Regions from separate parts of the Mus musculus genome. Here regions 1, 2, 4, 5, 6 and 7 are each reported to be linked to region 3. The links are microRNA targets in miRTarBase. Many come from high-throughput screens and were not tested one by one. Region 3 holds a microRNA gene; each other region holds the end of a gene's coding sequence.

Evidence for each region. The annotated mature microRNA mmu-miR-669f-3p reads CAUAUACAUACACACACACGUAU and lies in region 3 at 1,958-1,980, opposite strand. An mRNA with a match to its seed (bases 2 to 7 or 8) in the 3' UTR can be bound and repressed. Matches are read on the target gene's strand: a 7mer-m8 pairs with bases 2 to 8, a 7mer-A1 pairs with bases 2 to 7 and ends in A, and an 8mer does both.
Region 1: the mRNA of Acr is a reported target of mmu-miR-669f-3p. Seed matches in the 3' UTR shown: 7mer-A1 at 825-831 and 8mer at 834-841.
Region 2: miRTarBase lists Mfsd14a as a target of mmu-miR-669f-3p. Seed matches in the 3' UTR shown: 7mer-m8 at 2,382-2,388.
Region 4: miRTarBase lists Id2 as a target of mmu-miR-669f-3p. Seed matches in the 3' UTR shown: 8mer at 2,585-2,592.
Region 5: miRTarBase lists Rai1 as a target of mmu-miR-669f-3p. Seed matches in the 3' UTR shown: 8mer at 1,398-1,405 and 8mer at 1,688-1,695.
Region 6: the mRNA of Fam169a is a reported target of mmu-miR-669f-3p. Seed matches in the 3' UTR shown: 8mer at 2,594-2,601.
Region 7: miRTarBase lists Mkx as a target of mmu-miR-669f-3p. Seed matches in the 3' UTR shown: 8mer at 2,441-2,448.

What each region holds. Positions count from the first base shown.
Region 1 is chr15:89,573,629-89,577,708 of GRCm38, forward strand. It overlaps Acr (acrosin prepropeptide), which reads left to right. Exons shown (of 5, transcript NM_013455.3): 5 at 204-957. The coding sequence ends at 800. Among named protein-coding and RNA genes, the nearest start is that of Acr, 7.3 kb to the left of the region's middle.
Region 2 is chr3:116,628,991-116,633,070 of GRCm38, forward strand. It overlaps Mfsd14a (major facilitator superfamily domain containing 14A), which reads right to left. Exons shown (of 12, transcript NM_008246.2): 12 at 2,174-3,490. The coding sequence ends at 3,284. Sass6 (SAS-6 centriolar assembly protein) reads left to right here. Exons shown (of 17, transcript NM_028349.3): 17 at 1-1,996. Among named protein-coding and RNA genes, the nearest start is that of Trmt13, 16 kb to the left of the region's middle.
Region 3 is chr2:10,465,265-10,469,264 of GRCm38, reverse strand. It overlaps Mir669f (microRNA 669f), which reads right to left and starts at 2,036; the gene lies at 1,916-2,036. All of the region lies in intron 10 of Sfmbt2 (Scm-like with four mbt domains 2), which reads right to left. Mir466m (microRNA 466m) reads right to left here and starts at 2,602; the gene lies at 2,519-2,602. Mir466f-1 (microRNA 466f-1) reads right to left here and starts at 2,321; the gene lies at 2,228-2,321. It also overlaps Mir669e, Mir669b, Mir669d, Mir466f-2 and Mir669l.
Region 4 is chr12:25,091,538-25,095,617 of GRCm38, forward strand. Id2 (inhibitor of DNA binding 2) reads right to left here. Exons shown (of 3, transcript NM_010496.3): 2 at 3,774-3,837; 3 at 2,262-3,039. The coding sequence ends at 3,781. Among named protein-coding and RNA genes, the nearest start is that of Id2, 2.5 kb to the right of the region's middle.
Region 5 is chr11:60,197,292-60,201,371 of GRCm38, forward strand. It overlaps Rai1 (retinoic acid induced 1), which reads left to right. Exons shown (of 6, transcript NM_009021.2): 5 at 498-547; 6 at 740-1,904. The coding sequence ends at 754. It overlaps Srebf1 (sterol regulatory element binding transcription factor 1), which reads right to left. Exons shown (of 19, transcript NM_011480.4): 16 at 3,955-4,080; 17 at 3,344-3,544; 18 at 3,135-3,246; 19 at 1,793-2,860. The coding sequence ends at 2,631. It overlaps Mir6921 (microRNA 6921), which reads right to left and starts at 3,326; the gene lies at 3,247-3,326.
Region 6 is chr13:97,126,734-97,130,798 of GRCm38, forward strand. It overlaps Fam169a (family with sequence similarity 169, member A), which reads left to right. Exons shown (of 13, transcript NM_001100458.1): 13 at 1-2,789. The coding sequence ends at 305. It overlaps Nsa2 (NSA2 ribosome biogenesis homolog), which reads right to left. Exons shown (of 6, transcript NM_021552.5): 6 at 2,694-4,065. Among named protein-coding and RNA genes, the nearest start is that of Nsa2, 9.2 kb to the right of the region's middle.
Region 7 is chr18:6,933,425-6,937,494 of GRCm38, forward strand. It overlaps Mkx (mohawk homeobox), which reads right to left. Exons shown (of 7, transcript NM_177595.4): 6 at 3,744-3,777; 7 at 1,542-3,630. The coding sequence ends at 3,441. Among named protein-coding and RNA genes, the nearest start is that of Mkx, 69 kb to the right of the region's middle.

The DNA.
Region 1 (4,080 bases), not on the chromosome of region 3:
TTGCAAGGCACCTCAGGGCCCCTCCCCCACCCGCCCTCCACATCCCAACGGATGTTTGCAGCTCTTACCCTCACCAGTTGTGTCTTAAGGCAGCAAGAAACTATGTGGCTACAGACATTTGTTCTCCCATAGCCCCATCCATGAGTCTTCTGGGAAGGGAGAGTGGTTTAGGCTGAAAGTGACCCCTCTGTCCTTCTGGACAGGGGGACAGTGGTGGGCCTCTCATGTGCAGAGACAACGTCGACAGCCCCTTTGTGGTCGTGGGGATCACGAGCTGGGGGGTAGGCTGTGCCCGTGCTAAGCGTCCCGGAGTCTACACAGCCACCTGGGACTACCTGGACTGGATTGCTTCCAAGATCGGCCCTAACGCCTTGCACTTGATTCAGCCAGCCACCCCTCATCCGCCGACTACCCGCCATCCGATGGTCTCTTTTCACCCTCCTTCTCTTCGCCCTCCTTGGTATTTCCAACACCTGCCTTCTCGACCGCTTTACCTGCGACCACTACGGCCTCTGCTCCATCGGCCGTCTTCGACCCAAACCTCCTCATCACTCATGCCCCTCCTCTCGCCCCCAACCCCAGCCCAGCCTGCATCCTTTACCATTGCTACACAACACATGAGGCACCGCACAACGCTGTCTTTTGCTCGGCGTCTCCAGCGCCTCATAGAGGCCCTGAAGATGAGAACTTACCCTATGAAACATCCCTCCCAGTACAGTGGACCAAGGAACTACCACTACCGCTTCTCCACGTTTGAGCCCCTTTCCAACAAACCCAGCGAGCCCTTCCTCCATTCCTGAGAAAAGAGAGATGAGTGAAATAAAGTATATATTTGTATATAAATATATATGTACACTCGAGGACATGAACTTCTGTTTTCTTCAACTCAACCCAAATCTTCCTCCATCAAATTTACATCCTCCCTGCTCAGCTCCAATAAAATGGAATTGCTCAATATATATTTTTTTTAAATGTTGAAATTTAATGCTTGAATAAGCAAACTTGGGCCATAGGCCAACCATGGTCCTTACTTCATACTTTATTGATACTGCAAGGTGTTAAATGCCTCTGTATATGTAGCTAGCGGGTGGAGTGAGAGAGCTCATTCTACCAACTAAACTGATCAGAAAAGGAGGGGGTGGGATCCCCCTAAGTGGCGGTTCTCTTGATGCTGTCATGAGATTGGCACAAAGAGATGCCTCTGTGTGAAAGGCCTGGATCCTCAGAAAACAAGGGATGGCCAGGGTGCTTGGCAGCCACAAGAAGTGTCTGCCACCACATAAATAGTCTTACTGTGGCTGATCACACATTACCTGCTCAGGGTTATTACTGGCCTGTAGCTAAATCTACTAGTTCTGGGACTTAAGCCCATATGAACTTATTTGCTAAAGCTTTCCAGGAATAATAGTGGGGGAAGGAGTGTTTTATGGATGCACCTGAGTGTGGAATGGCTTTTTACAATCATTAGATGTTTAAGAATATCCATTGTGGGGATGGCTCAGTGGTTAAGAACACTGGCTGCTCTTCCACAGGTCCTGAGTTCAATTCCCAGCAACCACATGGTGGCTCACAACCATCTGTAATGGGATCTGATGTCGTCTTCTGGTGTGTTTGACGAGAGCAGCAGTGTATACACATACATAAAATAAGCAAATGAATTGTAAAAAAAAAAAAAAGTTCATTGTAAGGAACAGAAACCAGTTTGAACCTTTTTAATGACACAAAGCTATGCGGGGCCAATAGGAATGGGTCAGAAGCGAACGCTTCAAGGAGCAGCGAGCCCAGCAAGGCATGGAAACGGTCTGAAGCTTCCTCAGAATGGCTCTGGGCACTCAGTCCAGCTTGTCAGACTTGGCCCACACTGCTTGAGACTGGGGTCAGTCCTCAGCCTGACCACATTTGTTTGCTTAGTCCTGAGAAGGATGCTCTGACGGGCTCGGTTTGACGCTCTGTTTTGCTGTTCATTCCGGTCAAGAAAGTAACTCAAGTCTGGTGTCTGGATTAAACCACTTGTGTTTATCAAAGATGGTAGGGCAGAGAGAGGCAACCCTTCCTGAAATCAAAATGTACTTAAGGATGCGTTCCGTTCTCAAAGGTTGTCCTTTACTTTCCAGCTGTGCTGCTTTGGATTTGTAGGCCTGGAAGGCCTCTGACCACTCAGAGAGGCACCAGGATCCCTTTGTGTTAGGGATTAAAAAAAAAAAAAAACCAGCAGGACTTCGGCATCAACCCAGCTTGATTTGGCAATGGCTATTCACCTGTGTACAGAAGTAACACTTTTCACCTTACTGGCTTACTTTGGATTGCGTGGTCCCTTGCTTGGAACCCCAGACCTATTTCTAAAAGCCTGGCACCCAATGTGAGAGACTCTCTGCAACCAAAGGTCCTGGGAACGTGCACACCTGTTGTCTCATGGCTGAGGTTCTGGATATGGACAAATATATCTCAGGCTCCTGAACTAACAGAACCCCAATTCTGAAAATGAATCAGCAGTGTTGAGATAAGGGCATCGAATGAGCATAGCAGCAACTAGGTAACTCCCAAGCACAAACCAAGGCAAGAAAATTGAGCTATGGCATACTGATGTGGTTGGGTAAGTGAGTCACTGAGATGTCCATCCTTGGAAGTGGAAAACAAAAGGTCCAGGGGGGACAACACATGAAACCAGTACAGGGGGTGAGGGGGAGGTGAGAGGTGGTGTAACTCCCAGGAGGACTTGGGAAGGGAGGAATGGAGATCCTTTGATGTTCCCCATTTAGTCCATGAGGATGAAATTTGAGGTTCTGGGAAGACAACTTCTGAACCAAGAGAAGAAGAAGAAGAAGAAGAAAAAAAAACAACAGGGAAACGCAACTTGGAAGTATGAATAATGCTTTGGTGGGCGGGATGTCTGGAAGGGCGATTTGAGTGCGATTGAAATGTTCAATCCGATGAGAAGCGAGTGTAGACTCCAGACCTGCAGTTCCGATGGTATATAGGCTCCACACCAACTGCAGTAGTTAAAGGGCCTCAGCTGGTCCTCAAGGGTTATCACCATAGAAACAGAGAGGAGTTTGAGCCTCTCTCATCAAGACATCACCGTTGTAAGGATGGGGAACCAGGCTCTGTCTTTGGGTAAGCAAAAGGATAAAAGATCTGAGACCAATAAAAGTAATCTGTGTCCTAAGGCACATGCTACAGTATAGGGTGGAGGTGGTCAAAAGGGAAAAGAAAACCCATTAAGGCTGTGTGTCTTAGGGTTTCTATTGCTGCGATGGAACACCATGACCAAAGGCAATGGGTAGCAAAGGGTTTATTTTAGCTTCTAATTCTCAGGTTGATATTTCATCATTGAGGGACTCAGAGCAGGGCAGGATCTTGGAGGCAGGAACTGAATCGGAGTCCATGGAGGAGTGTTGCTTACTGGCTTTGCACCTCATGGCTTGCTCAGTCTGCTTTCTTAGATCAACCAGGACCACCTGCCCAGGGATGGCATCAGCCACAGTGAGCTGGGTTCTTCTACACCAATCATTAAGACAATAGCCTATAGGTTTACCTCTAGGCTAATCTTACATAATCTAGGTGTTTCTCAAGATTCTCTCTTCTCAGTAATGAGCAGAGTTGTGTCAGGTTGACAACCAGCATACTGGGTGTCTGAGCTTATAGACTATATTGATGATGAGAGGCGAAGAGTGTGGAGGAGATGATTATGATCCTTGCTGGAGAAGAGACCCCGGACCCTCTTTTCCCTGATACAACAGCAACAGAGTAAACGAGAGAAAAGAGAGCCACCTTCTAAGGGGGGGGGTTCCTCTGGGTCACTTCTCTGTCTCTGTGCTGGGAGCCCCAGTTCTGAACTGTCAGCTCAAATTCCAGTTCTTTTGTATACCCCAGTCTCTAGTCTAAGAATGAACCTTGAACAATGGCAGAAGGATATCCAAAATCCTCCCTTGTCCACAGAGGAGTCCCCTTAGTGGATGTTCCCATCCAGGGACGGTCTCCATTTGTCAACATCCCCCTTTCCAGTTCAGAGGCCTTCAATTACACAGGGGGCTAAGGCCTTTGAGAAAACACCTGTATGTGACATTTGGTTTATGAAAT
Region 2 (4,080 bases), not on the chromosome of region 3:
TCTGTGAACAAAACAGAATGTTTCAAAAAGTCACTGGATTGTATCAGATTCTTACCAGTTGGTCTGCTTAGGGACACTTTATCAAGATACACCTGCAGGGAATATAAACTGAAGACTTGTGATTCATTCGATCATTTTTATTGTAAAAAAAAAAAAATCTTAATCTGCCACCTGAGAGCTGGGAGAGCTTCCACCTGTGACCATTGAGCCTTACATTGACTTTACATTCAGTTCTCATACAACTTTCAAAGTTTTTTTTTTTTTTTTTTTTTTGAGACAGGGTCTATTATTATGTAGTTCAAGCTGTCCTGGAACTGGCTATGTATGTAGACCAGGCTGGCCTCAAACCCAGATCCACCTGCCTCTGTGTCCCAAGACCTAGGACTAAAGCTGTGTACCCACCAAGCCTGAGTTACACAATATATTTGGTTTATAATTTCTCCTCCCAGATGGTCTCCAGTTTCCTACCCACCCAATTTTATGTTCTTTCTCCCTTAAAAAAGAAAATAAAAATAACCAATCAGTAAGATAAAAATATCAAACCAGCCGGGCAGTGGTGGCGCACGCCTTTAATCCCAGCACTCGGGAGGCAGAGGCAGGCGGATTTCTGAGTTGGAGGCCAGCCTGGTCTACAGAGTGAGTTCCAGGACAGCCAGGGCTGTACAGAGAGACCCTGTCTCGAACCCCCTTCCCCCCCCCCAAAAAAAAAATCAAACCCAAAACAGTGTATTCGACCTTGTGCTAGTCAAGTCCTGGGTATGGGCATTTGGAGTTTGGTTGATGTACCTAGTGACACTCTTAAGGATTTTGAGTGAAATTAAGTATTCATAGTGAGTAAATCATTTTCTCTGAAATAATTTTTATATAAAAATCATTGGGACAGTGTATTTACATGACTGAAGTGCTTTAGTCATCTGGGCATTCCATAAAGATCATCAGTGTAATAACACCATAAAAGTTCATGGGACTTTTTATAATATTAAAATTTGTCATCAGTGTTAATAAAGCAGGAGGAGAGTTAACTATTGGAAATTACAACTTCCTCACTATTAAAAACTTCCAAGAACTATTCCTTTGAAATTAAGTAGTTTTAAAAAACAAAATGAAACAAAAAACCAAAAACAACCCTCTATAATCTTAGAGGTCTAATTTTGTTTTCTTGTTGACAACCACCCAAAGGAAATTAAAATTCCAAGACCCCAAAAATCTTATCTGTAAAATGTTAACAATCATGTGATATTTTAAGTTTCAAGGGGCTGAAGAGATGGCTTAGTGATGATCGGCACTAGCTACTCTTTTCAGAGGATGTGGGTTCTAATCCCAGCACCCACATGACAGCTCACAATTTTGTCACCCAGAGTGCATCAGGCATGCATGTGGTTTCTAGGCAAAACATTTATACACATTTTTTTTCAAGTACTTTACACTGTTGCAGACATTTTGAGACAGTGACGTAGAATCTTTAGCCTCACTTTCAGGATGATGGCTATTGCTAGCTGTCTTCAACGAGGGCTGTTATCACAGTTCAGTGATGGGAAGAATATTGCTATAACTACTTGAAAGCACTTATTCTGGAAAGAAGTCTCTCTATGCAGCACAGGACTGTTGTAAATACTATAGAATAAACCTAAGAGCTATGGCAGCCTTTGGAAAGGGATACAAGACATATATAGCTTTTTAGAAGAGATACCCTCCCCTTACTATTTATAAACCTGTTTCCACGATAGGACAGCTCATTTCCACGCAGGGTGTTGGTGACCTGTCTCTGTGCTAAGTGTCCACACACACAGATAGCGCCAACTCTCTGCTCTACCTCTTCTGCTTTTGTCTGAAATTGTTTTGTGTTGTATAACTGTACATGTGTTAACCATCAGAATGTTGCTTTTTGCTATTTCTGAAAGCTGTGACCTTTGTCAATAAAGCACTGAGGCTTGAGCGTTTTATATGCAAGAAGCATGTTTAGGAAATAAAAGACTAACTGTGCTTAGGAAATCAAGCATTTCCGGTTGACCTACACACTTCGTTATTTTTATCTTCAGGCTTTTTGTTTTGTTTTTGGTGAGGTGAGGTGAGGGCAGCAAATGGATTGCAGAAGGTAAGTTAAGGTAAGAGGATTTGTTACTGTAACAAAGCCTAAACCGGCCTTACAGGGAGGGACTCACAGATCAAGACCTTTTTAAAAAGAAAAAAATCATTAAAATATTTAATTTTATTAACAGAATATTTACATTTGAGACCTTATTTAATCATAGTGAATGCTCCAAGTTTAAAAAGCATTAGGCAGTAACCACACACAAGATGAAAACAGTGTAAACTATACAATACTTTATGTACATTTTTACAAAGTAACACTTTTTTAAATAATATAACTGGACACAAAAATATACACTTTAGAGAAATTCACATCAGTAATTGTATAAAGCTCTCTTCTAGGGTCCTGAAAATTTAGGACAAACATTAGCTCTGTAAATAAAGTGTTACTGTGACAGTCCTGAAAGGCCACTATATATATTTATCTACATATAGATATCACATTGACATTTTCAAGGCTACCAGCTTTACTATATAATTTTTAGATTATGTATTCAAGTGTTGAGGTCCTTATGATTATGCAAATATCAAAAGAATAGTGGTATAAGAAGCAGAACAGATTTAAACAGATTGAGCCAGATGGCTAGGCTCTGACCACCCCAATTTGAATTCTAAGTGGCTGATCTTTTCATTCTTCAGAACAGCCGTGAATAATGCTTTAAATAAAATTATGGCAAACAAGCTTGAAACATGATTCTGGTTTTCTACAATTTTCACAAGTTCTTTTAAATGCAAACAATTCTTTACCATTTCTTTTCTAGTGCATCTGCATTAAGGCTTTGAATTATTTGACCCAAGATTTTACAATGACTCAGGTTTTACAAGGTTAAAGCAAACAGGTCCATAACCATCCTGCCTAGTGTCGCTGAGTCAGCACGAGCAGGTAAAGGCTCAACACCTAAGGAAATGGCAGAGACGGAGTTACAGATAGAGCTTTAATTAAAGATGTGTAATAAAACAGTTTAGTGGCAAGAGAGTGGTGCTAATATAAACAAAAGGTTTCTTTTTGAAAGAAAGTGTAACATCTTTGGAAAACTGTCCGGTTCTTTCTTTAGTTCCCACGGAGTTCATGCAAGTATTTCTTAAGACAGTCTTAAAGTACACTGCAGATGGAAATGGAATGTACATCCAGAGCTACAGGTGAAAACTAAGACCTGGGTGCTGCGAGAGAGAGAAGTCTTCCTGATTTCCGTCACACATTCGTGTCCTGGAGTAAAGGTTCTTTGGCCTCTCCTGGCGCTTGTGTACTGTGAGGATGGCTGTGACTGCCACAGTGCTTCCTCCAACTGCTGGACCTTAAACTTAAATTAGTGTGTTCCGGAATAAACAAGGCAACGAGCAGAGCCAGCAGTACCGAACAGGCTCCAAAGAGGAAAGGGGGACCAGGGATGATGGAATTCTGAGGAAGAAACAATAGTTAATGTTTTTTGCACAAATACTCCCCCCAGCCCCCGTCCCCAGCCTCCAATGTCTCAGCAACTGTCTGCTCAGATTTTCTTTTTTTTTTTTTAAAGTCAATGCCTTTATTGAAGCAATAGCTATAAAATCACTTTTCAGGAGAAAAGGTATTTTTATTCTTATTGTAAAATCCTGCCAACAAAAAAATGGCAAAGTGGGCTGGAAAGATAGTTCAGTGGTTAAGAGCGCTGACTGCTCTTCCAGAGGTCCTGAGTTCAATTACAGGCAACCACATGGTGGCTAACAACCATCTGTAATGGGATCTGATGCCCTCTTCTGGTGTGTCTGAGGACAACAATGTGTACTCAAACCTTTAAAAACAAAAATCAAAAACTGGCAAAGTAACTTGGATAACTGTGGGTGGCTTTTAGCACAGAGCCTAAACTACACATGTTAATAATACACCTGTAGAATCGTGTTTCAAAAATAAATACAATGCCACTAACCACAAAAATAAAACATTTTAGCCCAAATCATATTCATTGTGGGCAAAACCCTACAGAAACCCTGTTTCTGTTGTATATGGCCCAC
Region 3 (4,000 bases):
CCAGGAATACCAGGCTGATCTCTAACTCATTATGAAGTTAAGCATGAATTTGAACTCCAGATCTTTCTGACTATACCAATCGTTTATATCTGGTGAGTAAAAAGTTTCATTGGCCCAGTACTACATAATTTCTAAAGCTCTAAATCACATATCAATAAAATAAATCGATGAATACCATTCCTGCGTGTGTGTTGATGTGTTCATATGAATGCGTGTATATATGGGTGTGTATGTATATGTATATTCATATACACACATATACATGCACACACAACTATACGCACATGCACAAACATGGGGGGCAAAACATGATTCACAGTTTGATCTCTAAATCCTCATGAATGTAAGCATGAATTTGAACTCCTGATTCTCCTGATTCTGGCAAGCATTTTCAACTAGAAAGTGAGAGCACTCACTGGCCCAGTACTACATAATCTCTATAGTTCTACGTCACATATCATTCAAATGGATAAATGAGTGCCATTCGTGTGTGTGTGTGTGTGTGTGTTACATGAGTGTGTATGTGTGTGTGTATGTATACATATATTCATATACACACATGCACATGCACACACACGTAAACACACATTCACATACATGGGTGGCATCACATGAATGCCAGGATGATCTCTAACTGAAGTTAATCATGAATTTGAACTCCTGATCCTCCTGACTCTGTCAACCATTTTCACCTGGTGAGTGAGACCGTTCATTGACACACTACTGCATAATCTATAAGACTCTAAGTCACATATCATTCAAATGGATCGATGAGTGCCATTCCTGTGTATATGTATTTGTGTGTGTGCATGCATGCGTGTGTATATGGGTGTGTATGTATATGTATATTCATATACACACATATACATGCACACACAAGTATACACACATATAGAGCAAGCAACACACAAATCCCGGGCTGATCTCTAACTCATCATGAAATTAAGCATAAATTTTTACTGCTGTTCTTCCTTACTCTGCAAGCATTTTCACCTGGTGAGAGAGAGAGAGCTCTTTTGGGCAAAGGAATACTCAATCTCTAACCTCTAGGTTGCATATCATTCACATGGATTGGTAAGTGGCAATTGTGGGTGTGTTTGTGTGTGTGTGCATGTTTGTGTGGGTATGTATGTATATGTATATTCATATATACATACATTTTCATGCACACATAAATATACACACATGCACATACATAGGGGTCATCACATTAACACAAGGCTGATCTCTAACTCATCATGAAGTTATTATGAATTTGAACTCCTGATTCTCCTGACTGTGAGAAATGTTTTTGCCTGGTGAGTGAGATGTCTCACTGGCCCAGTAAATTTACATATTATACAAATGGATCGATGAAAGCCATTTCTGTGTCTGTATCTGCGCATGCGTGTATATGTTTGTGTGTATGTATATGTACATTAATAGACACACATGCACATGCACACAAAACTATATACACATGCACATACATTCATGGGGGACATCCCATGAATTCTAGGCTGATGTCTAACTCATCATGAAATTAAGCATGAATTTCATCTCCTAATCCTCCTGAGTATGGCAAACATTGTTACCTGGTGAGTGAGATCTCTCCCTGGCACTGTCCTGCCTAAACTCTCAAGCTCTAAGACACATATCATTCAAATGGATGTGTGTGTGTGTGCATGAGTGTGTAAGTGTGTGTATATTCATATTCATATACACAAATGAACATGCACACACAAGACACACACCTGCCCATATATAGGGTACAGCCCATGAATCCCAGGCTGATCTTTAACTCATTATGAAGTTAAGCATGATTTTGAACTCTGGATACTGATGCTCTGGCAAGCCTTCCCTGGTGAATGAAAAGTTTCAGTGGCCCAATACTACATAATCTCTAAAGCTCTAAGTCACATATCATTCAAATGGATCAACGAGTGCCATTCCTCTGTGTGTGTTTGTGCTTGCGTTTATACGTGTGTGTGTATGTATATGTATATTCATATACACACATGCACATGCACACACAACTATACACACAGGCACATACATGGGGGGCATCACATGAATCACAGACTAATCTCTAAATTCTCAGGAAGTTGAGCATGAATTTGAATTCCTGATTCTCCTGATTCTGGCAAGCATTTTCACCTTCTGAGTGAGACCATTCACTGGCCCAGTACTGTATAATCTCTAAAACTATAAGTCACATATCATTAAAAGTGATCAGTGAGTGTCATTCATATGTGTGTGTTGCATGTGTGTGTATGTGTGTGTGTATGTGTATGTATATTCATATACACACATGCACATGCACACACACGTAAACACACATGCACATACATATGAATACCAGGATGATCTCTAACTGAAGGTAAGCATGAATTTGAACTTCTGATCCTCCTGACTCTGTCAATCGTTTACACCTGGTGAGTGAGAACATTCACTGTCCCCTATTGCATAATCTCTAAAACTCTAAGTCACATACCATTCAAATGGATTGATAAGTGCCATTCCTGTATGTGTGTGTTTGTGTGTGTGTACGTGCGTGTGTATGTGTGTATGTATATGTATATTCATATACACACATGCACATGCACACACAAGAACACACACAGGCACATACATAGGGGCCATCACATAAATCCCAGGATGATTTCTAAATCTTCATGAAGTTAATTATGAATTTGAACTCTTTATTCTCCTGACTCTGGCAAGCGTTTTTACTTAGTGAGTGAGATGTCTCACTGGCCCAGTATTACATAGTATTGAAAGATCTAATTTACATATCATACAAATGGATTGATAAGTGCCATTCATGTGTGTTTTTCCACGCGTGCATGTCTATGTTAGTGTGTATGTATATTTATATTTATATTATACACACATGCACATGAACACACACGTATATACATAAGCTGCATCACATGATACAGGCTGATCCCTAACTCTTGATGAAGTTAAGCATGAATTTCAACTCCTGATCCTCCTGACTCTGGCAAGGATTTTAGCCTGGTATTTGAAGCCTCACCCTCACTCAATACTACATAATCTCCAAAGCTCTACGTCACATATCATTCAAATGGATTGACAAGTGACATTCCTGCATGTATGTGTGTGCGTCTGTATGTGTATGTGTACATATATTGATATGCACACATGTACATGCACACACAAGTATAAACACATGCACATACATGGGGGGCATGACATGAATCCCAGGCTGATCTCTAACTCATCATGAATTTAACCATGAATTTGAACTCTGAAACATACTGACTGTGGCAAAAGTATTCAGCTAACGAGTGAAACAACACACTGGCCCAGTACTGCATAAGCTCTAAAGCTCTGAGTCACATATTATTCAAAAGGATATATGATGCCATTACTCTAAGTGGTGTGTGTGGGTGGGTGGGTGTGGGTGTGTACATGTGTGTACATGTGTGTATATGCATATTCATATAGAGAAATGAATATGCACACAACTATACACACATGCACATTTTTGGTGGGCATCACATGAATCGCATGCTGATCTCTAACTCATCATGAAGTTAAACATGAATTTGAACTCCAGGACCTCCTGACTCTGGCAAGGGATTTCACCTCCTAACTGAGACATAGCTCTGACCTGGTACTGCATAAGCTCTAAAGCTCTGAGTCACATATCATTCAAAAGGATATATGAGTGCCATTCGTGTGTGCATGCGTGCATATGCATATTCACATAGAGAAGTGAATATGCACACAACTATGCACACATGCACTTTCTTGGTGGGCATCACATGAATCTCATGCTGATCTCTAACTCTTCATGAAGTTAAGCATGAATTTGAACTCTGTAGCCTCCTGACACTGGCAAGAATATTCACCTCCTACCTGAGACATAGCTCTGGCCATTCCTGTGAGTGTGTGTGCATGCGTGTATATGCATATTCATATAGAAAAATGAATATGCACACAACTATACACACATGCATATCCTTGGTGGCCCAGTACTGCAGCATCTCTAAAA
Region 4 (4,080 bases), not on the chromosome of region 3:
CAGAGGTCTTGAGTTCAATTCCCAGCAACCACATGGTGGCTCACAACTATCTGTAATGGGATCTGATGCCCGTTTCTGGTGTGTCTGAAGACAGCTACAGTGCACTCATATGTACAATAAATAAATCTTTTTCTAAAAAAATCTCAAATTACTCAAATTTAGAAGCTGAAAGAATTTTTGAAACTGATAAAATGTGCACAAACCCTCTAGACCTACATCTTATTTAGAGGAAGAAAAAAAAAACCAAACCTGGCATTAAGGTCTCGCGTAAGGAGGCTTTGTTCATTTTTCATTCCGATAAAGCAGCGGTCCGTAACCTTACCAGTGTTGCAACCCTTTTATGCAGTTCCTCACGTTGTAGTAACCCCCAATCATAAAATTGTTCTTGTTGCTGCTTCATGAGTGTAATTTTGCTACTGTTGTGAATCATAATGCAAATATCCGATCTGCAGGATATTTAAGATATGACTTCATGAAAGGGTCATTCAACCCCAAAGAGGTCACGACCCACAGGTTGAAAACCACTGAGATAAAGTAACACTTGGGGCTCTGGTTAAAAGGCATGAAGCAATTAAGGAAAAAAAAAAGTTAGGGACAGAAGTGCGGAAGCATGCTGCCAAACTTTCTGACCTAACAACTGTGCAGTCATTTTTCCAGTCACAAACTGGTAGGCGGGAGATAGCATAACTAGTAAGATGCTAATTGGCAAATAGGTTGTACGCAGTAAAGAGGTGGAGCGGATTTATATATTCGTGCTAGCGGCAGTCTTTAGGGATGACATCAATCATTTTCAGAAGGCTTGGTCAGGATAACGCTGCTGGCCACCGGCTCCCTGCATCCATGCCTGTGTACAGCAGAACCGTAGGCCAGCGGCGATCCTCATATTTGCCAGAAGGTGGCGCTCGGCCTCCACGGCGCGACCAGCTGCAGTTAGAAGTCCCCTCCAAAGGAGCCACTTTCCCCCAGGCTGAGGCTGATTAGAAGTCATTCACGTGTCGCTGGTTGTCCAGCGACCCTACAGGTGCTCCGAAGGGGCCTGCAGTTCCGATGGCACAATTGTACTTCAGGGTCAAATCCCCAAAGCCATCCGAGGGGAGAATGAGATCCGGCAGACGTGAAGCTGAGGACAGGCAGGGTTGGGGCAGCAACTTGTTCTCTCATACTTCTCTCCCGCTTTGTGTGCGTGTGTGTGTGTGTGCGTGTGTGTGTGGCGGGGCAGAAGGGTGAGGGTGGGTGGGATGGCAGAGCGCACCTGGGTTGGCCCGGTGTGCATGCAGGGGCTATAGTAGGCAACAGGTGACTAGTGTATTGGGCGGCTGCCAAGGGCTCTCGCTCGCGCAGTCTCCAACCCAGGTGTAATGGGCAAAGCGTGCATCCCGGGTATATTCATTAGGGACAACCCCGCCCTGCAGGAAGGAGGCGGGGACCACCGGAACCGAAGCTGCCCCTCCTCCATTCACCAGGATGGATTCGGTGTCAGGGGAGAGGAAACACCGCAGCCAAGGCAGACTAGCAGGCGCCACCCAAACACCTGCTTGGCCTAGAAAGTGGCACCAGGTGCGACTCACATACTCGTACCTCTTGTCCCATCCTTTCTCTAGGCTGTGCCTGTCTTCCCTGGACTACTTTCCAGAACCACCCCTTCCCAACCAAGTCACTTGCAACTTGGGAACTAAATCTAAGCACCTATTGAATGCATATTCAAATTAGCGGCCCGGTGTCCTCAAGGCTCTGAGTTGGATGGAAATGTTGGTGATACCTTTTTTTTTGGTGAGTGGGAGGGGCTTTTCTCGCACCTTCCCTCCGTTCCTTGAGGTCCAGAGTGCAGTCAAGGGTGAAGAGCACTTAATAGCCACAGAACTGGGAGAGCAGCTGGCCCAGGCAGGCCTGGGTGAGCCACAGGTGGAGGAGACGAAGGACTTCTGGAGTTCGTGGCCAGGTTTAAAAGCGTAACCCCCAGGGGTGACCAGTGACAGCCAAAGCCCCTTTTCTCTCTGCTCCAAAGGTGTCTTTCTAGAGGGCACACCTAGGAACTCAAGGGGAGTCTTCTACAGTCCCGTTTAAAATCTAGTCCCAATGCACAGGCACAGAGCCACACTGCTAGGTGTGTTGCGTTTCCAGTCCCCATCCCTCCTAATGGCAACAATGTTTCAGTCTACTGGGCCGCCACGGGACACACATGTGATAGAGGGGGTGAGAGAACAGAAGGAGGTGCCCCAAGCAAACACAAGACACCTCAAAAACCATTCAGAATCCCGGCATTGATGTCAGACACATTTTATTATAATCTTAATACAGTCTACATAAATTTGAACTGGTATTTATTTGGGTTCAGTTATAACATAGCATAAAAAAAATCAAAGCACTGGTTGTCTGAAATAAAGCAAGCAATCAACATTCAATAAACACACTTGATTTATTTTGTATAAAAGGGTTAAGTTTACAACTAAACTTTTATAAAAAGTTTAGCATAAGTACGTCATTACATTTTAATGCAGAAATAGGTTATTTCTGCCACTATACAAGAAAACTCTAATTAAAGAGTCCACAAGGTTCACTCAATATATATATATTTATATATAAATATATACACAGCATTCAGTAGGCTCGTGTCAAAAAGGCCATTTCTGACCGAAGACTTCATTTAAGTAACCGAATACTGGGTCCTTCTGGTATTCACGCTCCACCTTTGTGAAAAGGCAAAGTCTGCTTACATTGGGCAATTCCTTGTGATTTTTTTCTTTTTTTTTTAACGTTTTCGCTCCCCATGGTGGGAATAGTATATAAAGAAAACCTTCCAACTGTAGAAAGGGCACTGAAAGTCTCTCATAAATAACGGTATCACAGTCCAGGCCGGAGAACGACACCTGGGCAAGACGATCATCCTTAGTTTTCCTTCCGCTTTCTTTTTAAAAAGGTCCATTCAACGTGTTCTCCTGGTGAAATGGCTGATAACAAAAGTCTTAAAAGATCTTGTAGACTTCTTCTTGTGCAAAAGAAAAAGAGAAAGTAAAAAGAAAAAAAAAAGTCCCCAAATGCCTGCAAAAGATTGGGAGAGAAAGGCAGTTTAGGAGAATGTAACCTAAGGGCAGAGGCGGGCGAGCCTGGCGCCGAGGAAGCCACAGTTTGAGCATTTAACCAAACCCTGGCGTCCAGATGCGGCACACATACCCGGCCCCAGCAGCACAAATTAAACATGAAAATAGCGGAGACTCCAGGGGAAAACTTCCCAAACCCAGTCTCCTATTTGGATCTCTAACAGCCCGCTCACAGGCGCCAGTCTGCTTCTTGTAACAATTATTTGATTGAAAACAGCCCTTTAGTTAACAGATATGGAAATCTGGATCCCAGAGCACAGGGGTAAGGCTCGGGGTAGCCGTCTTCAGCTAGCCAGAGAAATCTCAGAGGACTACAGTTTTGGGAAAAGAGAATCACTATGGAATTTGTGGCGATAAGATTAATTACAGCTGAGGTTACCACCTCAGTGTACCGCCACTGGGCTCATAAAAGTCAGCCACACTTGGTCCTGACACCTTCATAGTAAGTTACTGGCATTTCTTTTCTTTCTTTTTTTTCTTTCTTTTCTGTTTTTGTAAAGGCAACTGTTCTGTAGTCCTGAGCAACCACAGCTACAAGCCCCTTCATGCCTATGTGGTAAGTCAAGCGGCACCCGTAACACAGTGAAGTAAGCATGCATTTACCAAACCAAACATTTAACAGACACACAAGCACATTACCGAAACGCGCACACAGGAGGCACCCGCAACACTCACCATTTATTTAGCCACAGAGTACTTTGCTATCATTCGACATAAGCTCAGAAGGGAATTCAGATGCCTGGGGAGAAAGAGGATAAAAGGCAGGATATTAGGTAATCTTAAAGGAAGGTAGCCCCCCTCCTCCTTTCACAAAAGTGCCAACAAGTCCCATGAAACAGGATCATGCTACAGCGCAGATCCAGATGCAACCCACACAGAACTTATAAGTAGCGATTTCACATGACGCTCAATATACAGTTTCCTCAAAAATAAAGTTAATGAACCTGTCTCTACGATGGGCTTTAAGAGTGACAGCTCGGGA
Region 5 (4,080 bases), not on the chromosome of region 3:
ATAAGCCCTTCCGTGTGGAACATTTCCTCTGAACGTGAAGAAGGATCATGAGAGCACACAGTAGGTGACATTGTGATTGATCTACAATATAGAGGCTGAGATTCTGTAGCTGACATTTCAGTCAAGACCTGAGACTCCACTCTGCAGTTGTCAGTCACCCAAGCAATCATGGGGTGCTTTCTGAGCATGGACCTCTCCTGGCCACTGTGCAGGAGGTTGGGTCAGGAGTGGGCATGTCTGAGAATGAGTGTTCCTTCTCCTTTGGGGAGACCTGGGTAGGAGGGAGATGGCCAGGTAGTGGTGGCCAGGGTGGGGGTGGGGCAGGGGGGGTGTCTAGGAGTGGAGGCCAGGAAGGGACATAGCAGGGTAGAGGCAGAGGGGCTGCACCTCTGGGGGGATTTGGACTAATGAGGGTTCTGAGCAAGACCAGGGCATCAGAACTAACACTGGCAGCCAGCCGGCTCTGCATCACCACAGAAACTTTTCTTTGCTCACAGGTTGCACGTTCATTGAGGAGAATTTTACTTTGAAGTGCCCCAAACATAAGGTAGGTGAGCAGGCTCCCCAGAGAAAGCATTCCCTACCTAACCCAGTTTCTCCCTGCCCTGCCAGAGAGTAGGGAGGGGTGCAGGCTGGGTCCTAAAGTTACTTTGCCAGTCTAGGGTGATTGCACAGTTCTTGTGGAAGGACAGGGGTGGCAGCGGCTGGTGATAACAGTAACGGGCTGTCCCTCCCACAGAGGCTGCCGTTGTAATCCCCGTGTGGCCGAAACTCCGAGGAAGAAGAGCTGCGCCCACAGCCGGTCCTTGATCCCATCCAGGGTCTAGGTTCCGGCTGCCTTGGGCGCTGGCGTGAGGCCTAGGTTGCGAAGAAAACCGGGGCCAGGCTTGGCGAAGGCAGGCCAGGGAGTGGCCAGACCCAGGGCACAATGTCTCAGGCGGGGGGCAAGTCCCCTGCAAGTTCTGAAAAAGACGTGGCATGCAAGCTGTGCCCCTGGGAAGAGGCTAGGCTGCTGGCTCAGTGGACGACGTGGGGCAGACCCAAGCCTTTCTTAGAGGCCCAGCGGCGGGGGACATGGCTCAGCACTTGGCATGGATCTGCCCAAGATCGTGGCAGCCTGGGCTCAGGCCAGTCTATCCTTGATGCGGGCTGGCCTGGGGTGGCGCCCTATGGCTTCTGTTTGTCCCCTTTCCAGTCTTCCACCCCACTGTTGGAGCCCCGTCTGGAAGCCTGAGGAGACTGGGCCTGGCTACCCTCTAGCAGATGTGCAGCTGTCCCAGACAAAACACCAACATGGGATTCAGGGACTGCCACTCAGCTCACTCGGCTCATAGGCGGAGACAGTGCTAGATTCGTGTACAAACCTGTGTACCCCTCTATATATATGTTACATAGAATGTATATATGTTGGGAACATGCTCGCTTCTGTGTGTCGCTGCTGTGCGTCGTGTGCTCCACAGCACAGAGCCCTAACCTGGCCTTGGCTGGGGTCGGGGCCAAAGTGATGCCCCTTCCCCGAGCAACTACCACCATCACCACCACCACGGCCAGCCCCCACCTGTCCGTTTGTGTCCTCAGCTCTGTCCACGCTTTAATAGGCCTGATGCAGCCCCTTCTCCCTGCAACGTTCTGTACATATGACTGTAAAATGGTAAACGTGTGTATTATATCTGGCCTCGTTATATAGTGTATATATATGTATACATATACATATATATAATATATATGAAGACTGTAAATGTTAAGACAACTAGTGTTCTTATTAGTATATTGCTTCACACTGAAGATTGTGTGTATCGAGCTGTTTCTAAAAGATGTTTATTTTCCTTAAGAGTTAAAAAAAAAAAAAACAGTCATTGCATTCAGAAAAAAAAAAGTCAATAAAGATACCACGATTGTTTTGGAAGTGTGCGGCCTGTGGATGCCGACCAGATTCCCTAAGGGGTTGGGAGTAGAGGGAAGGGGCCGGGGGACACAAACAGGGTTCCCAGTCTACTCACTAATGGGCCCTGATCCTTCGCCTATGCTGGTGCACAGAGATGACTAGGGAACTGTGTGTGTTTCTGGATATACGGGGTTATTACCTGGTGGAGGGCTGGAAGGCAAAGGAACAACTGAGACCATCAAGGCCCCTCAAGGGTTATGAGCCATGAGATCAGAGGGCCAAGGTGGCTCAACATAGCATCACCAAGCCAGCAAATACACCTTACAACAGATGGGAAGTCCGGCTTCCCAAAGGACAAGCCAGGAAAGATAGCAATCAGCTGAGGCAGACATCTGCCTACCCAGATAAACAAAACTGAAGTTATAAATAATTTCATTTTTTAATATTCTGTACAAAATTTCTCAACCTATGAAAATAAAGTTTGCAAAAGTCAAAGTAGTACATGGGCCTGCCCTGGAGCCAGGCCCAGCCGGATCTACACTATGTACAGGTCTCCCAGGGTGAGCCTCAGCTAGGGAAAAGCCACTAAGGTGCCTACAGAGCAAGAGGGTGCCATCGGGCCAGTGCAGCCTCTGCAATTTCCAGATCTGCCACTAGAGGTCGGCATGGTCCTGATTGCTTGTCAGGCTCACCCTCTGGAAGACCACAGCCAATGACAAAGGTCCTCAAGGGAAAGCTTTGGGGTCTAGCTGGAAGTGACGGTGGTTCCGCCGCCCAGGCGCAGGAGCATCTGCTGGCAGTCCAGCAGTAGCCGGTGATCGCCAAGCTTCTCTACGGTGCGTGCCGCCTCGGCCAGCATGCTCATTCGCTGCCCAGGAGCCGACAGGAAGGCAGGGGGCAGATAGCAGGATGCCAACAGCAGGGCCTCGGTGTGCTCCCGCCATGTGGGCCGTGGCTCCAGCTCAGCTGTAGTGCCTGCACAGATCACATCAAAGGGAGGGAGGCTTAGGTCTGGCCGAGCCCACACCCCATGTGCAGGACAAAGTAGCTGAGCTCTTCCACGTGGAACTCCCAGTCTGGCTGCTTTCTCCACTTGGGCTGGGCACACAGGGGGGCTCAGCTTCTTTCCTATGACTGCCTCAAAAACTGTCATCCCCGCTGATTTCTGTAAGTCAGCTCTCAGTATGTCTCACTAGACCAAGACGGCCCCTGACCCTCACCAGCCCTGTAAGCACAGCCACCTCCTCACCTCCTTTGCCACTGGAACCTGCCCTCCTCCTCAGACTGCGATCCAGGAGCTGGTGTGTCCGGGCAGGACTTGCTCCTGCCATCAGCCGAGCTGTGGCCTCATGTAGGAATACCTGAGAGGCAAGGAGTAGTCACCCGTTTCAGATTTACTGTCCCCCCACTCCCGGCTTCCTACCTCATGCCCCTCAGTGTGAGAACAGTGGGACTCACCCTCCTCATAGCAGGCCGGAAGCTCTGTGCCAACCGCCGCAGGCTGCTCAGGTCATGTTGGAAACCACGCAGCTCCAGAGCAGAGGCCTGGGGTCCATTGCTGGTACCGTGAGCTACCTGGACTGAAGCTGGTGACTGCTGCCGCTGCCACAGACTGGTACGGGCCACAAGAAGTAGATCACACAGGAGCAGCTGCATGGCCTGGGATAGCAGGCAGGGCAGAGGGAGGAGTTTCCCTATGGACATCAAGCTTTCCCTAGCTGAGGGCCACCCTGTCTCAAGGCAGCGTCAGTAAGGGCAGGAAGTCCACAGCACTGGGGCCTGACTCCAGGTTGCATCACTGAAGCACTGCATCTGCCTCAACACATGCACCGCCTCCTGCTACAAGCCCGCAGTCTTCCCAACAATGGCTCCCAACAGGAACCCTGCCAGTCTGCTCCCCACACCCTCCTTCCTGGTGGTGGCGAAACAGTAAAGCCCCCTCTCCCCAAGACTTAAGCCGTCGTTAAAACTGAGGTAAATCCATTTAGCATTATTCTGTACTAACACCAAGAACCTGGAAATGGACAGCTGTGACCCTGGCCTAGACAGGAACCCACCCTACCCCTCACCTTGTCAATGGAACTGCCAGTTGGTGTAGAGGCTAAGCTGTCCCGCAGGTACCCACTGGCCTTCTCACAGATGGCCAGGCTGGCTGGGCTAGATTCCACCTTTCTGTGGTCCAGCAGAGCCCGGGC
Region 6 (4,065 bases), not on the chromosome of region 3:
TGGAAGACCAGGGTGAGGAGGGAGCACCTGAGGCCCAGGAACCATCGGCTACTCAGAGTTCTCTGATAGAGGTAGAACTTGAAGACGCGCCATTTCCACAGAATGCAGGACAGAAGAGCCAGTCAGAGGAACAGTCTGAAGCGTCCTCTGAGCACCTGGAACAGTTTACACAGTCAGCAGAGAAAGCTGTGGATAGCAGCTCAGAGGAGATTGAAGTGGAAGTTCCTGTAGTAGACAGGCGCAATCTGAGAAGAAAGGCCAAAGGGCATAAGGGCCCTGGCAAGAAGAAAGCCAAGCTGACCTGAATGAAGGAGCAATGCAGTTCACACATCCTCCTTGTTGTTATTGTTGTTGTTTTAAACTGCAGTAATTAATAAACAGCATGGGGCACAGGACAGATTCTAAACCTTCCACTGGAACTTATTTACACATGCAGGTTTTCTCTTTCCTTTAGAACAAGGATTCGCTGTTCTTTTTCATTTTTCAGGCTATTTTCTCTAAGTAACTTTCGTTTATGAACCATGTGTCAATTTTGGAATTCCAGGTCATATTCTTCTTCAGCAGGTGGAGCATCTAATCATTAATATTTTAAAAATACAACTTAAAAAGAACTATTAGACTTTGATCATAGGAATCTTTTATACTAAGGGTTTTAATGGTAAAATTTGGTAAGGATTCTCAAAGTTTTATCTTAGTATCAAAACAATCTCCATCTTTTAGGTGTAAGCATACCTAAACAAAAGGAGTCAGTTAATTAAATATAGTATCAAGTTAGAGAACAAAAAATAGAAATTTATGATCAGTGGTTTATGAAGATGGTTTTTGTTTTTATTTCTTAATGTTAGTTGTAGATGGAGTTCAAGTCTGTGAGAAGTACTTTAGGCTGCATATCTGGTGTTAGTACTGTTAAAGATATAACTGTGGTGTGTGGGTACATAATTTAAATTTTAAATTTAATACTTCCACATGAAGTATTAGTTTGCTATAATTTTTTTCTCTATATATTTTCAGATGCTGAAAACCTTGAGTACACTTTTATCTTTTAAACACCTCAAGTAATTGAAGTTAATATATAGTTGAATTTGGACTGTCGTCCTGATCACAGATAGTGCAGAAGTGTAGGCCCCTCCCCAAGCCTCCTTAATTCTTCACTGCTGTCTCACTGTGACTCTTCTATCAACAGACCTCCACCCAGCTTGCCTGTTATGCCCTGTATCCATATTTGGATAGGTCTAGAACTCAATCCAAACACCTTTAGTCCTAGATGGAAGGAATAAAGCTGCCCAGTGAGATGTACAAATGCCTAGATTCTGACTCTGCGGTCCCTTTGGGTCTTGTATACTTTAAGACAGGGTTTCTCTGTGTAGCATTGACTATCCTGTAAACCAGGCAGACCTCCAGCTCAGATCTGCCTCTTCCTGCTGAGTGTTGAGATTAAAGACATGCAGCACTACCACCTGGCTATTTGATATTTTAGAAATATTTAAAAAAAATGACAATTGGTTTTTAAATGGTTATTAGAATTCATAGAAAATTGGTCAGTGGCACTTGGGGAATACCACATACTTTGATTTGTATTTCAGTTAGAGACTATTTTGAGACCAATTAGAATTGTTTTTGAAACAGCTTGAACCTTGTGAGAGAAATGTTGAGAAATTGAGTCATGAAGTACTTGTGAGTTTATGCTCAGTCATTTCAGTCTTTGGTCAGCTGATTGGTGATTTCATGTCTTACATTTTAATTTAGGGATGTTGGTATTTTAGAAAAGTCTGATTAATTAGTTAAGACCTTAAAGCAGCAAACCAAATAGCAAACCCTTGAAGTTAGAACACTTGCACTTACCTGTTGTTTTAATTTTGGCTAGATGTTAGATAATTTCATTCTAAGTGAAAATTATACTTTGACCATTTTTTTTTTTTTTTTTGGTAAAAGCTGTTATAAAATAGATTTGACTAATTAGTAAATTTGCCAAATGCTGATGCTGTTTTACACGTTTAGAGAAATTTGTTAATATCTCAACCAGGGATAGCATTTGAAAGGCATGTTAAGATTCAGAAATTGATTTTTAACACACATTTAAAGTTTTCTGGATATGTTGTTTTGGTATTTTGTTTTGGCTCCTGTTCCCCTTCCATTACTTTTTTAAATGAGTGTTTTAGTAGATTGCACTCACTGGCAGCTCAATGTATGAATAGTCTCTAGAGTTAAAGAAAAATTTTCACATACCACACTGGGTACTAGCAGTATAAACTTATATACTTCCTAAACTTGTTTGATAAAGATGGGATTCAAACATTTTGCTCTGCATACAAGAAAACTTGTTACCTTGTTGTCTGTGACAGAAGTTAAAGTTTGTATAGATCATAGAGGAAAAGTTAGGTCACAGGAAAAAATCTTTCATATTCAGTAACATGTTTATATAAAATTTGTAATAATTTATGTTCAGTAGGGAATCTAAACAAATGTAGCAAGGCATGAGGACTGCAGAGATTTCAAGCAGCTGTTTGAGTGCTCTGTCCCGTTGTGTAGTCTCCTGTGAACTGGTACTTTCTGTTTCGGAGTCATGAATGTGGAGAAGGAAGCTCCCTTCTGGTGTATATACATATATATTTCCTTATGTAACATAGCAGAAGTGTACTACCAGAAGTTTAGTTCTACTTTCAAACTTAAACTGTTAGACCACACAAAAATTTATTTAAGAATTTTATTGTAAAGCTCCTTTAAAACTTTTAAAGAGATTCTATTATGATTTTTTAAAATAAAATCAAATGGCATGACTTAGAATGTCAGTCTTCTCTGTGTGTTCACATTCTTCCACTTTGTGTCTACTTTCCTTTTACCGTTGATTTGCAGAGGCTAAGGAGGACTTCTAGTCACTAATGGTCTACTTTGAACAGGTGACCAGTGTAGTGTTACCTAGTGGTTTGTGACTTTAGTAGACCTTTAAGCCCTTCTACCAACTAAACATCTCTGAAGTTGCTTCTCCTTTGGAATTACCTAAGCTGTGGTCACACCAGCAAACTGAAACAGATTTTGATGTAAATAAGGAATTTGTACTAATACTACTCATGTAACTATTTGAAGAGAGCAGCTTTTGCTTTGATGTCCATTTGCAATCTGGTGGTTCTGGGCGTGGTCTGTTACAGAAGTCATGCTTGTTTTAATACTTCCTCCCATGACTTTTTAGTATACGACAGTTTGCTAGTTTCAATCCTAAAAAAAAAAATAAGCAAATGTACTTCAGCAATAGCCACTGATCACCTGGAGTCAGGCTTCCTTTCACCGTAACTCAGGCAGATAAATACACATTGCCCGTTCTGATTGGTAGACAATGTTAAAATCTAATTATAAGAAAGTGAAGTCACTCTGCCTTTCCTGGTCAGTCCTTTCCAAGGAACTAGGCCCGCCTTTTCCTTTAATATCTTTGTATGTTCTAAAAACTTTAAAAAAAATATTCAGAATACCAAGTCTTATGGAGAACTTATGGTTTGTTTCTTTGCTAGGGTTTTTTTTTCCCCCTTAATGTTTAAAATAGTAATTAAACTTGTGTTTTGTGATTGTTTTCTAGTCTTGTGTTTTAAATTTCCTTTCCTCTGAGTTGCATTCATGAAGATGTGCTTAGATATTAGACATTGAATGATTCTGTTAAAGGCACAGCTAATCACACTGCCTGTATTATGAAAGTAGATTTAAAAAATAAACAATTTAAAGCAATATGGTGATTACAGATTAATATACAGACACTCTTAAGAACGTGGATTTAAGTTATAACCCCAAATCATGACCTTTCAATCTAATTAATTGCCACATCTCAAGTCACTGGTACATGGTGGAGAATTATCTAACCCAATTGTTCACATTGTTGTAGCAGTAGTGAGCGAGCTCCCTATTTTTAGAATATAGGAAATGGAGGAAGTACACTGGAGGTCACTGCAGTACTATATAAGGTATTAGTTATGAGTGAAAGCACTGAATTGTGCACTCTTTTCATCTAATTTACCTTCTCTATGACTTTTAATCTACTTGTTTATGAATTTAAACACTACCATGTGTTTAAAATGTTCC
Region 7 (4,070 bases), not on the chromosome of region 3:
GCAGTGTGAAGAGGGGACAGGAGCAAAAGCAGTTCTTGTCATCTGGTAAGGGACACCACCAAGCTCACTATCTTTGGTGGGTGTGCTTGCTTTCCCTCTCTCTGCCCTACTTCATGCTTTGCTGTAGAAGTTTCCAGTGATAGTAATGAACATATCACCTTCCACGCTTTAACTCTGGAGCTAACTTCTCCACTGAAGTCTTTCAAGTCAAAAGTCAAGATTTCTGTAAAGGTGTTTTTGTCTCCAATCCCTATTCCACCTACACTTTTAGCTCCTATATACATATCACATGGAACAAATTACAGTATGTGATAGCATTTTTCATTTATTGATCATCTATTTTTCAGCCACTGTAGTAGGCATTTTACGTTTTTTACACTTATTTTACTCTGAGTGTGGAGATCGGAGGACAGCTGACTGGAGCTGATTCTTTGTACCACATGGGTTCTGGAGAGCAAAATTTGCTGTCAGGCTTCACAGCAAATGTTCTTTTCTACTGTTCCATCTTGCTGGCTCCTGCATTCTGTGTATCATCTACTGTTTCAATCCCTCAGAGTGCAATGTCTTGCTCATTCCTCATACTCTGTGTGCACAACACCTAAAGACTGAGTCTAAATCTCGCAGTTGTGTGTGGATAGGGTGCAGAGTCAGCACTGCAGTGCGGTTCTGCTGACTCCCAAGCTAAGCTCCTCCCCTGTACAGAACACAACGGTAATGGATAGGGGATCTATATGAACAAAGCTTAAAGATATGGAAGTATGGAAATGTCATGACAATACCCATGACTTGGTATGCTGATAAAAGTTTCTTTTTAAGGCAATTAGAATCCATGAATATGCAAATATGGAAGAGGAATGGTTATTGTATTATTTATGGAAAAAGAATTTAGTACAACCCAGTATTTGAACAGTCTGTGTTGTGTTCTTGTCCTTGGGTCTTAACAGGTGGGTTAGTGGCTTAAAGTGATAGAATTCAAATTTGGTCCAACTATAGCACTCCCAATCCATGAGCCACATGCGAGGCTGTTCCTGTCTCCTGCTCCCTCGCCCTGGCCAGCTTTCAAAGGCAAACAAATCCCATATGATCACTGAAGTCTAGAAATGAACTTTTATTTTAAATCTGTCAAGAACTCTTGACAGACTTTAATTTTATTAAAATACAACTGTAAAATAAGAGTGAGTCTCTTTCTCTTCAATATAAATTACATGTCAGCCGAGCTCTCAGCTGCTGGCTTGGCATTGCTCAAGGTGCTTTTAAGGGTCAGGGGGGCTCTGATTTCCAGATAAAACAACAGTAACACAGAAAAATAATAAAATGATTCTAATTGGAGACATTGCTCAGGATATGCTAATTACCTATTTTTCATGTGTGTATAGGCCAGACTCCAAGCTTTGGTATTTTAAAGAAATTATGTGGAGAGTATCCTGTCATTGGTTTGTGTTCATAATACAGAACAAATTAGCTGATTTCCCCCCCCAAAGGATAGAAAAATGTAAAACATGACAATTTCAAATAAAATACAACCCAAAGTTCACTTATCTAATCACAATATGTTAAAACAAGAACACTTTTATTAAAATATTTAATACCAGAATAACTTATAATAGTATGAGAAAGAGTGAAGTATTCGTTCTTGCTTCTCACTGCCTCATGCACATCTGGGCAGGCTTGTCTTGTAGTGATCCCCACTTGGCTGGCTGCACGAGAAGAACCCAATACTTCATCCATTCATACAGTCAGCACTGACACATCTCACCTAGGGCAACTGCAACTGCCAACAGCACTTGAGAAAACAAAGTAAAAATATACGTACAAAATATTTTCATATCAAATTATCTTCATTACACTAGATAACCCCCACCCCACTATGCTATGATACAGGAGAAAGTGTCCTACGAGGGCCATCAAGGCCGTCATGTCTGCTCAGCAACCAGATTAACTTTGGCATTAAAAGCATTTTGTAAAATAAAGAAAAAAACGTCAGCATGTGCTGTGAAACCAGATGTCATTCACACTTGCAAAAATGCTTTCCAGCCTAAAACAATTAGAAAATACATTACATAACCAGAAAAAAATTCCCCCGATAGCCTAGTCTTTTTTACTTTGCTGTTGAACGTTTGCTCTGTTTTATAGGCCATCTCCAGATTTCCTTTTCTACTGGGCATCTCCACATTCCTCTGGTTTGCAGTCTTCCCAGGCAGGGGAGGATGTTAATGCTTGATGGAAAAGACTTTTCTTTCTTGATAGCGATTGCTCTCACTCTGTGGTAGTGACATTTAGAAACAAGACTTTCTTTCTTTTAATGCAAGACTTCACTTAATTTCTATTTGAATGTCCTATCTGGCAAAAATCAGAGACTAAACAGTCTATGCTACATGAACATATTTTGCTACCCGTACATTTTAAATTTTTAAGAAATCAATTTTTCTGCATGTATATGTATATACACACACAGATTTTTTCTTCGTTGTCTTGTTCTCATTGCAATACAAATTGTCCATCTGAATTGGGATTTGAAATGAACCAAATAAAAAGCTTTTACTCACTCCACATGAAAGCGGCTTCCATCACACAGGAACCCTGAGCTCTAATGCAAACAAGATTATGATTTAAAACTAAACTTTAGGTTTAGCTTTACACAGGAAAAAATTTCAAAGATTTATATAATAAGACTCTTTTTAAAGCTTCAGGGAAAAAAAATCCCAATTAGTTGTAAAGGGCATTGGGATACTTTCCAGCAGTGCTTGGGAAAACAATCCTTGACTGCATTACAATATTAAAGTAGTTTGAAAGCATCTCTTCTTAAGTGTATGCATCATGTGGTCCTGCAGCACCTTTCATTTTGGATGCACTAACTGATATGCAAACAAAACCCACACATAAAATTCTCACCATCACACCGGAAGTTAAGGAAAAGAAAAAAAAAAAAGAAAGAGGAAAGAAAAAGAAAGAGAAAAAGAAAAAGAAAAGGAAAGAAAAAAGAAAGAAAAGATCACCTCATCTGGGCTGAACAGATTTCCAAGTTTGAACATGTGAATGAATGAAATTGTTTCATGGGCTTTCGGCGATTGGCTTCTGTCCTGGACCAGTGGGAATGATGCAGTCTAGCAAGTGTTGGCATTGATGGTTTGAGGCACAGCTCTTCACTGTGCCCACGTTGGGGCTTACCTCAGGGAGCAAGGCACTTACTGTAATGGTAATGCAGATACTTTATGCATAGTTTCAGTAACATAAAAATAAGTTAATATTTTTGATTAAAATGAGTTTTTATAACTTATATGTCTTTTTATAGAAGCAACTGATATATTTACGATAGTTGAACTCAGGAGTTTTAAGGGAGTCCTCTTCACCTCTGCTTTGGCTCTTAGGATGAGGATTTAGGTAAAAACAAACACAAACAAACAAACAACCCACTGACAGCTCAGCACTTCCTGGCCACTCTAGAAGCGCTGCACCAGTGGCAGCTTGACTGTCTTTACTTCTGCTATGTGGGAAGACTTCTGGATGATGCAACTGGTGGTCGTCCCCTGCACTTCATCTTTTCCTTGGGCAAGGTTTGTTAAGGCCATGGCTGCATTGATCTCCTTCCAGTATGTGTCATCTTTGCTTGGTCCCCTTCTGTTAGCAGCACTGCATGTGTGCAAGAAAGAAGAGGAAGGATCAGCGATCAGGCCCACTGTTGTGTGCCCTGGAGACAGTTTACCAGCAAAGCACCAGCGATAAATGAAACTCATTTTGCTCACCTGTCACCCTTAGTAGATCCGATGTCCGGGGTGTCTATAAAGAGAAGCACAAAGTCAGTCACTTGTCTCTTTCTTGGACTTTGTCTTTTAAGATTTTATCTCTCTCTCTCTCTTTCTCTCTCTCAGCTGTAAGTCAGCTGATGTGGGAGCCTGGAACCAAATGCAGGTCCTCTGAAAAAGCAGACACTGCTCTTGAGCACTGAGCCACTCCTCCAGTCCTGTTTAATCTTAGGAATTTCTTCATTATTGCCAAGAATAAAATTTTATCCAGAAACATGGCTGAAATTATTTTTCTTATAGCATCCCGTAAGTTATTAAGGTTACTAA